2 linked regions of the Pelodiscus sinensis genome follow. The protein of the gene in region 2 purifies or fractionates together with the protein of the main gene of each other region. This does not show direct contact. Links are inferred from orthologs where the notes say so. Each region holds a gene or a part of one and is shown on either strand. Other genes may lie near its edges.

The links. The genes of interacting proteins can lie anywhere in the genome.
Region 1: the proteins of ZMYND8 (region 2) and CSNK2B purify together in Homo sapiens (affinity purification with mass spectrometry; 3 studies listed by BioGRID and IntAct, with this or other methods). This does not show direct contact. The link is inferred for Pelodiscus sinensis from reciprocal best matches to the Homo sapiens genes ZMYND8 and CSNK2B.

The regions. Positions count from the first base shown.
Region 1 is NW_027466017.1:275,594-282,985, reverse strand, and holds the start of CSNK2B (casein kinase II subunit beta), read left to right. Parts: upstream 1-4,374; 5' UTR 4,375-4,425; coding exon 4,426-4,495; intron 4,496-5,476; exon of another isoform or gene 5,477-5,612; intron 5,613-6,654; coding exon 6,655-6,737; intron 6,738-6,926; coding exon 6,927-7,029; intron 7,030-7,392. Other genes in the region: GPANK1 (G patch domain and ankyrin repeat-containing protein 1), read right to left, coding at 1,769-2,231, 2,442-3,016. UniProt on the Homo sapiens protein: Regulatory subunit of casein kinase II/CK2.
Region 2 is NC_134728.1:21,914,269-21,922,201, reverse strand, and holds the start of ZMYND8 (MYND-type zinc finger-containing chromatin reader ZMYND8), read right to left. Parts: upstream 3,018-7,933; 5' UTR 3,003-3,017; coding exon 2,967-3,002; intron 2,859-2,966; exon of another isoform or gene 2,662-2,858; coding exon of another isoform or gene 2,653-2,661; intron 1-2,652. Other genes in the region: translocating chain-associated membrane protein 1-like 1, read left to right, coding at 3,292-3,411. UniProt on the Homo sapiens protein: Chromatin reader that recognizes dual histone modifications such as histone H3.1 dimethylated at 'Lys-36' and histone H4 acetylated at 'Lys-16' (H3.1K36me2-H4K16ac) and histone H3 methylated at 'Lys-4' and histone H4 acetylated at 'Lys-14' (H3K4me1-H3K14ac).

The DNA of each region.
Region 1 (7,392 bases), on a different chromosome or scaffold from region 2:
GGTAATCATACATCCTACATTGGGTACAATGAACAGGATGGCTCCCACTTTGCTGCTGGGCTTGTGCCTATGACCTCTCCTGTAGGTAATTAGATTCTTGATAGGTTTTTTTTTATTACAATCGGGTAGTTTTGGTTTTAGTTTGAAAGAAGTGTTAAAGAATGCCAAGTGTAGCTAGCCCCCTTCAAACTCTCCCTCTAAACGCCCTCACAAAACTCCCTGAAAGCTGCTCCCATTAGCTAAGCTCCCTGGTCACTTACTAGCTCTGGCCTTCCTGATAGCCCTGCCCCCTGGTTAAGGCCTGATGAATGGACAAAGTGTTAGGTTTCAAAGCCTTCTTAACAAGCATACAGCTTCCAACTGCCGGCCTCAGCACATGGTCCTTCAAATAAACAGCTCACAGACATCCAAAGAGACAGAAAAGCACACGTTCAGCACAGAGTATCTTTCAGGCAACCAGGAAGTATCCCCCAAACACAAACACACACACTACAGCCAGCCACTTACCCCAAGGGTCCCATAATTGCTTCTCCTTCACCTGGAGAAATCCCTCATGAAACTCCATTAGCTACACTATGATGTCAAATAAAAGGCCTGTTTTGTTGACTTTGCAAAATGGAGCTGTAAGCTGATCTCAGGGACTCAGAGCTAAATCCAGAGCCACCACACTGTTGTCAATCCCGGGCTAGGTTCTGTATTCACTGAATTCAGAGTGACACCACTGTTGTCAATGGACACGTTCTGATCTCACTTCCTATGAGGTAAATTTGGAGTCAGGGCTAGACTCTGATCTTACCTATGTTTACACGGTCAATTAGGAAATCCAGATCTCTTAGGACAATCACTAGAGCCACAAAACAACCAGGGAGGGACCACTATTTATTCTCACTTAAAGATTCCAAATCAAATAGAATCCAAACAAAAACTGAGATTTGTTTCCCCTCCAAATCAGTCAAAATCCCCAGACACCAAAAAACCCGGCCAGCATCTTTTCCTGCTCACACATCTCACTGCTTTCTGAGCAGAAGGGAGAACAGCAACCAGGCCACGTTCCCATCCCTGAATCATCCCATTAAATTACAGGAACAAGAGCTTGTGCATGTTGGCCTAGTCAGCAGATCTGGCATTCTAAGACCGTGAGGATTGCAGAGATGTGTCTCTTCCCTGATAGCTACTGGCCCTTTAAGAAAAATGATGTCATATCAACCAGCCAATCCAGAATTCCAATAGGCCGAATGGTTTGAAGAACTGTAGGCTGAGTGGTTAATGGTGCGGCACAGAGATCCCATTGAGATGCTTCTGGTTCATAGTCAATGTTTTGTCAAGGGTTTGCATCCAACATGTCAAGGAAATCAACTGTCTGGATACTTTCAAGGACTGTGCGTTATTAGTTAATGGTACTCCACAAAGATGACATCATAGGTTAAGGGTCAATACTCATGTAGACATGAGGGATCTGATTGGCTAAAAAGTTTTCCTGGGCTGTAGGTTTGTTGGCTAACAGCGCAGGTATCAGAAATACCAGAGGTTGAATTTCTCAAAAAGCACCTCACCTGGATAATCCAACTGGCTGCATGATTTTAGGGTTGTTAATTGTCTCGGGGGGTTAAAGGTCAGAGTTCATGTAGACATTCCATCCTGGCAATCCAAACAGCTGAACATTGATAGGAATCAGTGAGTGTGAAAGGTTAAAGGTCAAAGTGAATGTAGATGCACCATCCAAGCAATCCCAGTAGCTGAATAACCATCGAGGCTCTTAATCCAGAGTTCAAAGGTCAAGGTTCATGTAGGTGCGCAGATTACGCTCCCAGGCCTGTGCTTTGGCCTCTCTGCGACGGGCCTCTTTCTTCCCCACTGTAGCTGCCCGTTGTGTCCTAGGCTGCTGCTCCCTGGGCTGAGCCACAGCGCTGGGGTCATTAGCGTTGAAATGGGTGACCTTGGGCCGGAGGTCGCTACGGAAGCCCAGGCCCTTCTGGTCCCTCTTGAGGACAGTCTGGACAGGGAATTTACGACCAGTGCCCTCAGGCCCCAGCCCAGCCTCAGCGTCCCAGCCCCCCTTGACCATGAGCTGGAAGCCGACGTTGTTCTCGGGGATGTGGTAGCGGGTGGGAGGCAGTGGGTCGCGCCGATTGAAGAGGTGGGCCGTGGAGCGTTCGTGGAGCTCTACGCTGTCCTCGCTATAATGCATCTTGCACACGGCACAGTATTTCCTCTCTGCTGGAGTCCTCCTGCTAGGGAGACAACAGGGTCAGGGACTACTTGGTTGGCTCAGGGAGATGAGGAACGGGACATAGGGCCTTTCCCCTTTTGGTCCCATCTGGTCCCAACTTGGGGAAACTAGCTAGTTGAGGCAGATGGGGAAGGGGAGACGGGACCTTTCTTCTCTAGAGAGCTCTAGCTCTGATTGGGGTTGGGTCAGGTGAGCAGAACCGAAGACTCACCTGGCCATCCTGCCCTCTGGCTGAGCCGTTTCACGCTCCTGGAGGATCCTCACTACATCCTGGTGCCCGGCTTCCTCGGCTAGGTCCACCGCATCCCGGCCCTGCGACTCGCACACGCCCACCCATGCGGCTCCCCGGGTCAGCAGGTATCTCACGGCCTCCCCCCGGCCTGCATAAGCGGCACACATGACCGCCGTCCAGTAATAACCGTCCCTGTAGTTCACATCGCACCCCTCCTTTTCCAGCAGCCGCCGCAGGGTCCTTGTGTCACCCTCCTGGGCCGATCTCAGCAGCAGGTTCCCACGGCGAGAGTCAGTCTGCCCTGTCTGGGTGGTGGGTGTCTCAGGCACCCTCGGGCGTCTCGGTGGGGCCTTGCGTTTTCGTAGGGGACTCGAGCGGTCACCGGAGGCCAGGACGCTCTCATAGAAGCTCCGGGCTTCCTCGCCTTCCATATCCGCATCCCCTTCCCGGCGTCGGACAGGGCACCCGGCCCGTATCTGGAGCTGCCCATCCTTCCAGAGGTCTGACTCTTCCCGGGCCCGGGTGAAGGAGATGAGCTGGGGGCCGGAGTTCATGGTGGAGACGGGGGGATGGAGGTGGGTCACTGGGCGGCCCCGGTGCACAGGGCGGGATCAGCCTGTTTCCTAGCGGGGAGGGGAACAAGGCCGGCAAAGGTAGGAGGCAGAGCGGTGATTTCCCCGGGGGGGGGGGGCACCAGTGTCCTTGGGGGACCCGCAGACAGGGCCGTGGGGGTGGGGTGCCGGGGGGGGGGTCGGGCGGGGGCCCTAGCGAAATGGGGGCGGGGCCACGAGCCGGGGGGGGGGTTTGAGGAGTGGAGCCGGGTCCCGAGACGGGTGGGGGTGGGGGGTGAGACCAAGAGCCCAGGAGGGGAGTGGGGGCTGGGAGGGGGCGGGGCCAGCTCCTTGAGGGCGGAGCCCGGGTCTGGGGGCGGGGCCAGCTCCTTGAGGGCGGAACCCGGGTCTGGGGGCGGGGCCAGAATCCGGAACGAGCCCCCTGGGGGCGCTGTGGGCGGGGCTAGCGCCCCAGGGGCGGGGCTAAGGGCCAGGGGGCGGGGCGAGCGCCTCGGGGAGCTGTGGGCGGGGCTAGGCCCTGGGGGCGGGGCCAGCCACACTCCCGCCCCTCCCCCCAGACGCCGTCGCGGCCCCACTCACCATAGAGACGCCGGAGGCCGCAGCAGCCGCGCGCCGCCCCCGGGGGCCAAGGGAAGGCGCATGCGCGCGAGGCCGCCGGTGGGGGGGGCAGGGGGGTTCCTGGTTCTAGGCACGCGCATGAGGGGAGCGGCTCGAACGCAGCCTCCCGCCGGCCGGTTACTCTAGGCCGCGACGAGTGACCCGCGACGCGCATGCGCAGTACATCCCCCCCCCCCCGAGGTGCGTGCGCACCGTGTTCCAGACGCGGGAAAAGCAGGCGGGGCGCGTGAGTGACGTCACGTAACGCGTCAGGCGGTGAAGGGAGGAGCCAGGCTCCTGCGCACGGGAGCCCAGTGAAACCGAGCCAGGGGGCGCGCGTGCGAAACCGAAAACAGGCGCATGCGCAGCCCCGTGCTTCGAACCTAGAGGCCAGCACAGCGCATGCGCAAGGGCCCTCGCGCTCTCGCTGGCCTAGTAACGGCCACTGCCCCGCGCGCTTCCCTGCTTCTAGCGTGAGGTGCGCGGTAATCTCATTTGCATATTACCCAGCATGCCTTTCTGCCTCGAACCCAGCCAATTAGCGTCGATTTGTTCCCATTTCAATAGAATTAGATTTAATTTGGGAAGGAATTAATGACAGTAGGATCGGCTCGCAGGCGCGTGACGTCATCCCGACGTCGGTTCATTAACACACCTTCTAATTTACCTCACCCTAACCGGATTACGTCAGAAATAGCCCTACCCGCGACAGGCTAATTAACATATTTGTAATTAACCTGTAGGTCAGCGTAATTAACCCTTCATGGCCGGTACCAATTAACGTGCCGGGGCAGATGAGCACGCGGGGCGCCATGGAGTACAGCAGAGCCAGCACCCGGCGGAGCAGCACCAGCATCAAGGAGGGTAAAGGAAGCCACGCCCCCGGCGGGGAGGCCACGCCCTTTCGTGGGGGCCGGACACTCCCGGAGATGAGGCCACGCCCCCTGCGGGAAATCCCGCCTGTCCCAGTAAGGGGCACGCCCTCACGAGGGTTAGACCACGCCCATTTTGCAGGGACACGCCCGTTTAGGGGAAGCCACGCCCTCTTTGTGTTGGCCCCGCCCTTTAATATGGCAGTTACTCTGGGTGAAGTCTCACCCCATCGGGACAGGCCACGCCCATTTGCGTGCGGACACCCCCCTTTTTGGATAAGCCCCTCCCCTTCGGGTCAGGCCACGCCCATGTCTGATGGCTTTCAGGTGTCCGGGCCCCTCCCCCATGCGTCTGGCTCCGGTCTGCTCCTAAGAGACGGCGGGGGGGGGAAGACCGCTCCTCCCATTATGCTCTGCGGCCCCTCCTCTCGCCCCTCCTCTGGGCTTCGTAGTTTCCCGCTCCCCCGCCCTCCAATCCCGGCAATGAGGCTCGGGCGGCGACAGAACTACAACTCCCAAGCGGCCTTGCGGCGCCTCCCCCGGCTTCCTCCCGTCCCGCCTATCGCGTTCAAACATGGCGGCTGTAGTTCGCGCGGGGAGCTGCGGGACTACAACTCCCAGGAGGCCTTGCGGCGCCCGGCTGCGCACGCAGCCGCTTCTCTGTCTGTCATGGCGGGTGTAGTCTGTGAGCATCCTGCCGCCCGTTCGTTCTAATGGCCCTAGGGGCACTCCGGGACTACGATTCCCATGCTGCTTTGCGGCTCCGCGGGGTCCCCTCCTGCCGTACGCCCGTAGTACCGTCGGGTCCCGCTGCCCATGCGTCCCAATGCGGTTCGGGCGGCTGGAGAACTGCAACTCCCGTCGTGCATCGCGGCCTCCCATCACCCCCCGCGCCCGCTGCCCCCGCTTTGCATGGTGGGAGCGGTAGTTCCGCGCTGGCCCCGCGTCCCTGGACTCCTATGGAGGCGGCGGTGGCTGCGAACTCCATCTCCCGTCATGCCCCGCGCGCTGGGAGGGGGCCGGAAGCGAGGCCTGTGCACGTCTGGCAGCGCTTGTTTGCACTCGCTGCCGGGCACCGCCTGCTGCCGAGCGGGGCTGAGCGCGCGGGGGTGAGTGTCCTGCGCCCTGGTGCGAAGAGGGGCGGGGGGTGGACTGCCCTTGTGCAAAGGGCCGGCCGCGCCGTAGTGCAAGGGGGGGCTTCTACCCTAGTGCAAAGGGGGGGCGGGGAGTCTGCCGTAGTGCAAAGTGGGGGTGGGGGTGTGCTGTAGCACAAGGGAGGCCGGGGTGTCTGCCCTAGTGCAGTGGGGGGCGGGGGGATTTGCTCCTCGTGTAAAGAGGGAAGAGGGCCTTCTCCTAGTGCAAAGGTGGGGGGGGCTGCCCCTACTGGAAGGCATGGCGGGGGGATTTGCACCCTAGTGCAAAGAGGGGGAATTTTCACCCTAATGCAAAGGGGGGGGAGCCTGCCCTTAGAGGCCGGAGGTGATTTGCATCCTAGTGGAAAGAGGGGAGGGGGCCTAATCCAACGGGTGTAAGAGTGTGTGTTCTGTCCCCAGTGCAAAGGGTGTGTGTGTGGGGGGGGTCTGTCCCTAGCACAAAGGGGGGGGCATGTGCTCACTAGAGCGAAGGGGGCATGTGGCAGGGTCATCTGCCTTCTTAGTATCAAGCTGGGGAGGAGGGAGCTGTGCAGCGGGAGGGCAAGGGGGCCCAGACCCACACAATGATGAGCGGTCTGCCCTTGTGCAAAGAGGGGAGGAGGGTGGGGGCATTTGTGCCCCAGTGCAAAGGGGGAGTATTTATCCCTCATCTCTGCCCGTGCCATGGGAGGACGAGTTAAAGATACAATGGGGGAAGGGCCATTCACCCTTCATGCCCCACCCCAGAGCCAGCTGCATCTCAGTGCCGAGAGAGGGGTCCCTGTAGAACTGCCCCTCTCCCTCCCCGTGTCCCACCCCAGAGGGGGCGCATCTGAACGCTGTCTGAGGGGGCTGCTCCTGAGGGGGCTGCTCCTGAGGGGACACGTGAGGGGACACGTCACAGCACTGGCTGCACGGTCTGTAGTGGGAGCGGCGTGTGGGGCTGCCAGCCAAGCCCGAGCCACGTTCACCGCACACACGGGTAGCCTGACGCGCCCCCCCCCCCCCCCCTCTGCAGAGGACGGGAAGATGAGCAGTTCCGAAGAGGTCTCCTGGATTTCCTGGTTCTGTGGCCTGCGTGGAAATGAGTTCTTCTGTGAGGTGAGTGGTGCCTAGTGGTTGGAGCCAGAGTGCCTGGGTTCTCTGCCTGGCTCTGGGAGAGGAAGCAACTGGGAGCCAGGACTTGTCCTGACCATGGGAGGAGAGTGGGGTCTAGTGGTTGGAGCATGGGGGGAGGAGGGCCTGGGAGTCCGGACACCTGGGTTCTCAGCCCGTCTCCCTCCCCCGCAGGTGGATGAGGACTATATCCAGGACAAGTTTAACCTGACGGGGCTGAATGAGCAAGTCCCCCATTACCGCCAGGCGCTCGACATGATCCTCGACTTGGAGCCAGGTACTAGGTGGGGGTCCCAGGGCTGAGGAGGGGTCTCGGTCTGAGCCCCTGACCCGTCACCAGCCCCCTGCCAGCTTTGTGTGAGTCCTCGTCTCCTTCCACCCTGCTGCCGCTCCCCGCCCCTCTGAATGGGCCGGCATGTCGAAGCCAGACAGCTGCCCCTTCGCACGACTGCCGGCCCAGGATGCGTGCGGCACAGTTGTGTGAGCAGCAGGGTGTGTCTTGCCCAAGCGTGGGGGACAGGTGTGCGTGTCCATTTCAAAGTTGTCCGTCGCAGGGTGTTTGTGTGGTGCACAGGCATGAAGGATGGGATGTGTGCCTCTTGCACACACGTGGAGGAGGGTTGTGTGTGGATGAAACATG
Region 2 (7,933 bases):
GTGCTGGCCAGTGTCAGCAGACAGGGCTAGAAGGACCTTTGGTCTGACCCAGTACGGCCGTTCTTATGTTCTTATGTACATATTGTTTGTGAAATAACACTGCAGTTTTACATGACTTAAATAAATACAAGACTATTCAAATCTGGAAATGGTCAGAAGAGGTAGGCATCAATAATGGAAAAATTCTGCCAGTATAGACCCATGAGGAGCTGGCAGATGACCCAGTGAAATCAGTTCATCTTCCCATTTTACAGATTGTCCCCACAGTATGTTGAAGCACCTGGGGATATATTTGTAAAAAAAAGTCTCTTCCTTAATCATCTGATTCCGTTGTCTGTCAAATATCAGCATATGAATTAAGGAAAAATACAGGTTTCATTTCCTTTTTTTTAGACCCAATACAGCTAACAAAGAACAATATATATTATATTCTGTCTCTAGCATCATCTAGCAAATTGTCGGTTAAATTCAGCTAATGCATTCTTTACTGTATGTGATAATGCCAGAGGCAGCCAGTAAATCTTACATTAACTTTACAAATAAAAATGCCAAGTACTGAAAAGTATATCCGATGCCTGAAAAAGCATACAGAATCCCATCCCATAATTTACCCTGGGAAAATGTCACTGACTTTTTTTTACTAGGTCAGAACAATTTCATTATTAATCCTTTCTACTTACTCATGCATAGCAGAATATGACCAATTGCTATTGTATCATGTTAAAGTTTCACAGAAAGACACTGTTCATTCTGCATACCAAGACAATATTAGCAACCTCATCCTGGCTCAAACCCAGAAACAACTTTATTTTGAAGCTCACTTACTAGTTGCTTTGATGCTAAAAATTAATTACGTCACAAAACTACATTTAAAATAGTTACAGTACTGTCTTCAGTACAGCTGAATAAATAATAAAATATTTATTATTTTGTAATAAATAATTTATTGCATAAGTTCAGGCTTGTCTTCCATTAGCAGAAACGCAGTGAGTGGTTTTCCTCAGATATATTTAGTACACCCACTCTAAATGCTCAAATGTCATACATTAGGCCCCCCACAAATTTAACTAAAATAATTTTTAAAATAATATTAGGCCTTTTTATTAGCTTCGAGTCATTGGGGTTCACCTTTCACAGCTTTTTGTTCAATCATAGAAGTTTAAAAAAAAACCTTCAGAAAACCTGAGATTCTTAAATGTAAAGGAGCTGGATCTTAAAGAAAAACACTAAATATCACCAGACTTGTGATTAAATTGCAAGAATTGGTATCAGAACAAAAGGTTCCAAATATTTTTCACTGTAAATTGATCATGATTTATAAAAAGTTCACTGAGAGTACTTGACAATGAGTCAAGTAACACATGCTGTTTCTGATTCCCAAACAAATGATACAAATACTTTTGAAGTGAATATAAACATGAAATTCAGTTTCCTGCACTACATATGCCTGAAACTTTGACAGAGAGCAAAAATGGGGCCTGAACTAGGTTAAGTGGTAGTGTCAATATGTCAGTTAACCGATGAGCATGGGCTCATCAGGTAACCTCAACGGTTACACAGAGCCCCCACCCTGCTGCCTCCCCTCCCCCCTTTAGATGTGTAACCATTGAAAATGTCAGTGGTTACACATTTAGCTGAATACACTCATTTTAACATTCTCAGCTTGAACGTGTCCAAACTGGATTTATTTAAAAATGTAGTAATTGAATATTCCTAGGAATATCACTGAGATCAAGTAAAAAGTAATTTTAGGGAGTTATTTTATAAGTTATTTTATATTAATTGGAATTTATGCAACATTTGCTAAGTAATAAATGATGTGAAAAGTGATACTAACTTTAGGACTGCTTTTTCCTGTCACAAATACTAAGTTTTCACTCCCCACTTAAATTCCTTTCTGCAATTTGATCCATGCAGGTGGAGCTTGCCACATCTGAAGAAGTGGGTTGTGCCCACAAAAGCTCATGATACCAGCTACATTTTTTGTTAGACTCTAATGTACTGCAGGACTAGTCACAGTTTACTGTAGTCAATTCCAGTTCAGCGTGGATTCAAAGTTTCCAGCTACACGCATTGGATTAGAGGATGAGGCCAAACACCTTTTATTTTTCTGTCACCTGAATTCTTTCAAGATTCTGATGAAGAACCCATCATTTCAGGCCATTCTCTAGGACGCCCTTTCAAAATTCCATTGTTTGTTTCCTCAGGCCATTAACAATGATTTCCCTTATTTCAGCATAGGAAATTCCAGAAAGTTCCCTCTACCTTACTGACCAACAGTACTGCCCATGGAAACTCCTGAAAGTTTCAATGAATTTTTGAGTAGATGAGGGAATAAAGACCCCTGGCATCTTAATGAAAGTTCCTCCCTCCATGTGAGAAAATTAGTCTCCATTCAGACTCCCCGCACCCTCCATTTTTCAGCCAGGTCTGAGGGGCAGCACCGCAGCCACTACAAAGATACAAGAGCTTTCCACCCCAGCCTGCAACTCTTTGTTTCTGGGCTACGCGGTTGGCCTTCCGTCCTGGATGCTGCGACTGACACGCTACGACAAAGCACCACTTCCAGGGACCTGAGCGAAGCCACTCAGTTCACACGACTGACAGCCAGCCGGCCGCGACGACGACAATGCGGTGCCTATTGAAACCTGCCTTCTCCATAGAGCCGCCTCCCACTCGTATGGGTCTGTCAGCTCCAGAAGAGGCACCCCAGCATCGGAACCAGGACGGAGCGGGACCTACTAGGACCTGTCATCTCCATTAGAGCCACTGGCTGGTAGGACTGAAGCACGGCGCGCAGAGGCCTACCGCCGCCACGCCAATAGCAGCAGCACCTCAAGCAGCGCGCGCTACCGCTCCGAGCTCCACCCACAAAACGGAGTGGAAACCTTAGCAACCGCGACAACCCCGCTTCCGCCCTCCCCTCCAAAGGGTTGCATTAGTTGTCTTCTGTAAAGCCCACCCACCGCAGGCGGAGTCACATGCCCCACCCTCTGGCTCATCTCATTAGCTGGAGTCGGTGTCACTCCTGGGGACCGCGAGAGCTATTCCGAGAATCAAACGGCGACTTTTGCCCCGCCCCTCTCTGAAAGCCACACCTCCCAGTGGCACGGCGATTAACCAGGACAACTGTCAATCATTGTGCTCCTGGATTGAGACTGGCTGATGCTGAGCTGTGGGCGGGCGGCGAAAAGCCGGGGTGTTTACTGTGCGTGAGGTGAGGGGGCTGTTGAGGAAGAATCACCACCTCTTTCCTGGACCCGGCCGGCTGCTAGGCCCTCGGGGGTTACCATGGGACTCCGAAGGAAGAACAAGAGCCCAGCTGTGCTGAGCCATGAATTCGTGATCCAGAACCATGCGGACGCCGTGTCCTGCCTGGCTATGGGCTTCCTGCTGGGGCTTATGTTCGAGGTACGGGGGCTGGGGGCTCTACCTGCGGCCGCCGAGCGGGGAGCACCCGTCCCAAGCGAGCCATACCGTTATTTCCGACCTGCGCCACCGCTGCTGGTCTGCGGGCAGCGGCCGAGCCTCGTCTCACACCCATCTCACTACTGGTCGCGATCCTCTTCTGCGCGCTCCGTTCTCCCCAGACCTGTCCTTGCTTGGGCCCCGTTTCTCCTGCCTCCCCAGCGCCTCACTCCGAGGGTTGGCCTTGTGACACACCCTCGCTCTCATCTCCCCCGTGCGCTGGTCCCCATGCTATTTATCCGGGCCCTCTTGTCATTGCTGTCTATCCCCGGACCCTTCATGCTCGTTCGTTCCTTTCCGCTGTATCCGACGCCCCTAGCTCACGACCTGCCCTCCTGAATCCCTATTGCCACACAGCTTCCCTTGTCGGCCCCTTCACATTAGTTGTAGCCCGTATTCCTTCCCAGCAAGCCCCTCATTCCCATCCATGCTCTTGGAGCCCAACCTGCCTTTTCTCTCGGGCGTGGTTTGAACTTTTTCGTGGAAACTTTGCAGTGGTGGAAACGTGGGTTATTGGAAATAGAGCTCCAGGTGGCCACTGGTGTTTTAACCACCAGATTGGCTTGACCTGTTATGAGCAGGGTCGGATGACATGGCAGTTGAAATGGTACCAGCAGTCCACCTCTGTTATTGATGATTCTTGCTCTCACTGACTCAGGTCAGTCAGTGATGGAGATCTAAAGAAAAATGCTAGTATTGACACAATCTTAGACTTGTCTCCCAATCCCTCTTCTCTTATGTATTTTAAAGTTAACTTTTTCTAATTAAATGAAGATGACACCTTTGATTTGGCTGAATTTTTTAGGTTTTGTTCTCTGGAATAAAATTGTTGTGTCATGATGCTGTATGAGTTCATTGTGTTAGTCTGTAAGTTGTTTAGTTTGATTTTTACTGCTGCTCTCAAGAATGGGGCAACCTAATGAAACAGGTAAGGCAGGTTGTTTGCCTTTTGTTTGGGGTTTTGTGGAGGTAGATGGGAAGGGGAGATGTCAGGACTGTCTGGAAACATGGTTTTCCAAGCTGAGACAATTTATGTCTGGGAAAGTTGTTACTGAAACAATCCAAACATCACTCATCACCTTGAGCTAGATTTAAAATAAGAATACTTAAAAATGAGAAAATACTTTGAAATACTGGGTTGAAAGATATTACGCAGTGTGAAGTATTATCTTTAAGGGTTTGTTCTTTACTGCTATGCTAGTCCTTTAGAATTCAGTGAATTATGCTGGAAAAGGGTGGATAATGGAGTCACGATAATCAAATAATGTCCCTCCAAACAAATGACAGATGCTAAGTTGGGTGATGCTGTAGTGTGCTGCATTAGAAGTGGTACAAACTAAAGCGGCTATATGACGCAGATAGAATGCTGGGATAGAAAGTGAAGTTGTGGAGAATCATTAGTTACAAGAGGAGGCTGAAGGTGGAAAAACTTTGATCCTCCTATGCGGACTAATAGGATATTTTGTCATGTGAATCCCTGGAATATGAGTTAAAGTGGATGAATTGGTCAAAAGTTAGAATGCTAAAAACAAACAGTTTGCGAAATTGTTTGTAAATCCTTGCTTGTCCAAAGTCAGTACGATCCTGTGTGTAAACAAACATTTACAGCCCCTCTAGCACTCAGTGTGATATTAATATAGTTTATTCCTGTACAACATGGGTGACCAGCCCATTCTGGGCAAAGAGCCAAGATAGCAGTGGATCCAGCACAAAGAGTTGAAAGGGGCAAAGTTGTAGAGGAGGGGGGAAAAAAAAAAAGATTGCCCCTTTAAAACGAGCCCCTGGTCATGTTTGGTCAAGCAAAAAAAAAAAAAAAACACCTCTTTAAAAAAAGGCTCTGCCCCTTTAAGAAACCGCATTGAAACGCGTTTTGAAGCTTTTGGGCCACAGCAGGCTCCCGCCACCTGCCGCCATCTTTATTTCTGTTGCTTTCATGGCTGCACCAGACAGCTCCCCTGCCCAGGTCAGCACAGGAAGCTGGGAGGAGAGGCCTTTTTTTAGGGGCGTGGGGGAGGCTTTCGAGCCATGGGGGCAGGGGGAGGCTTCATGAGCTGCACCCGGGGTTGGGGGGGGGGAAGAAGAGCCATATGTGGCTCGCAAGCCTTGGGTTGGCCACCCTTGCTGTACAGGAAGGAGAATAAGCAGTGTTTATGTCAGGCAGTATAATTTCATAAATAGTGAGGTTAAACCCATTTAACTATAGCTATAAAATATTACACCCATAACTGACCTAGCCATACAAGTACAGTTCTAAATGTAGTTTGTGCTGGGAATATTCAGCTGCATTCAAAGAACAATATTTTGTGTTGCGTTCTTCTGTCTGATGCAAAATGCATATACACAGTGCTATTGCAATCAATTCAAATTATGCAAAATAGGCAAAGGTGAGCTTGTGTAGCAAGTTAACTTTTAAGACTGTAATGCAATTTTTGGAAAAGTTGATTAAGAAACCTTTAAAGTTCCTGATGATCATGGACAGCCATTTGTAGAGGGCTGTGCTTGTCAATGTAATGAAAGTTCAGAAGAGTTCAGATCAGGGTCACTTGGTTGTTTTGATGGTGCTAGATCTCAACAGTTGTTGATGACATTGTGGTTTGAAAAATTCATTCATCCTGAAAAGTGAGAACTTTGTCCAGATAAGTAAGAAAATATATGCTATCAACTTCTTAAAAAAAAAAAAAAAAAGCTTTTATTATAAATTAAATTAAAACATTGAAGTGCTGGTCATTCTTTGAAGGGTCTACATACTCCTCTCTATTTCCATTCTTCTTTCAGGGCACTGCAAAGATTTCCTCTTCTGCATCTTGAAGTGTTTTGACTATCATTTTTGGGGTGGGGGTGGTGTCCTTGCCACGTGTGGAATGCAGCCTCATGTAGAACTGGCAGATTTGTAAAGGGGTCTAGGCCACGTATAAAATGGAACTTATTTTATAAGTGACAGATCTATGGGTAGACCCAATTTTTTGTTCTCCTCCCTTTCCTTCTGGTACAATGTGTGAAAGAACTTTGCCCAGCATTGCTTTTCTTTTTGTTGTAGCACAGGGTAAGGATGTTAAGAAGCGGGTAATTGACTAATTGTGTAGTCAGTACAGTTTGTATCGATTACACAATTAGTCGATAAGGTGAGGTGGGGTCCAAGAACGATGCCTGCTGCAGCTCTGCCTTTTAAATGTAGCAAGAGCCACCAGGCTCTTACTACTACATTTAAAAGATGGACATGCAGCAGTCCAGGACCTGGTGTGAGCCCCCCACCTCTGCACCATGTAGACAAGTCCTAGGAAAAACACCCTTCGCGGGTCAGATCTGGCCTGCCACGCCACTGGATCCAGCCCATGGATGCAGCGGGAAGTCTCAGGGTCGCCTGCTTGCCTCATCCCCGCACACCACTCAGAAAAGCAGCTGCAGGGCCATTTGTGTTCCACAAACTGAGTCTGGAAAGGAGGGGGCAGTGGTGCTTCATGGCTGCTTCTGCCCTCAGTACAATCCCATTGGCTGGTTTCTGGCAAATGGAAGTTGGCTGTTTGAAAAATAGGCAGCAAGCAAACCACTAATCCCCCCTCCACTCAGGCTCTTATTCACAGAGCACATGGCCTTGCAGTCTATGCAGGGGCAGGGCAGACTCATGCCTGAGAAACAAGCTGGGCTGTTGGCCAGGAGTCTCACTGGTAAGTCCCCAGGTCTTCCCTCCTCCCGAGCCCTATTTCCCTCCCCTCCACTCCTACCACCCCGTACTCCACATAGGCCAAATCCTCTGCCACCCTTCTGAGCCCATACCACTTCCCAAACCAAGCACCCCAATCCCCTGCCCCAGATCACAATTCCCTCCTGCCCTAGGTCACAGCCCAAACCCCTGTACCTCCTCTTGCATTCCAGTCCCCTGCCCTAGCTCACAACCCAGACCCCTGCATTCCAATCCCATGCCGCAGGTCACAACTGCCTCATTCAAACTCCCCCTCAGATCTCACAGGCCCTCCAAATCTGGCCCACCAAGCTGGCTGATCCGGCCTGCAGCCACCCTGCCGCTCCCCAGGCCAGTTGAGACCTGGGGATGGGGGAGCTGGCAGTTTTCTCTGGGTGGTGGCGGGGGAGGAGGGATGGGGCAGACTTCATGTGCTCCCTCTGCCCCCAGGCCAATCAGGGTTTTGAGTGGGAGGAGCACAGGAAGCTTCCTGGCCATGCCTCTTCTGCCCAAGTCCCAACCTTTTCCAGGGTGGCCTGCGACCACTTCAGAAATGTGTGACATGGCCAGCCCCCTTCAAAAAGTATTGCCCGTGCCTGGCATACACGGTGCTAGGGGGAATCTGCTTTTAAGACGGCTCCCCCCAACAACAATTCCTGCTTTCCTCCCCTTGCTGCCTCTGATACAGAGACAGAAAGGGGAAAGAAATGAGTAGTTGTGTTTGGCAAATGTGCCAAATGTTTTGTTAACCCCATCAAAATCTACCCAAATTTGGTCAAATTAAGC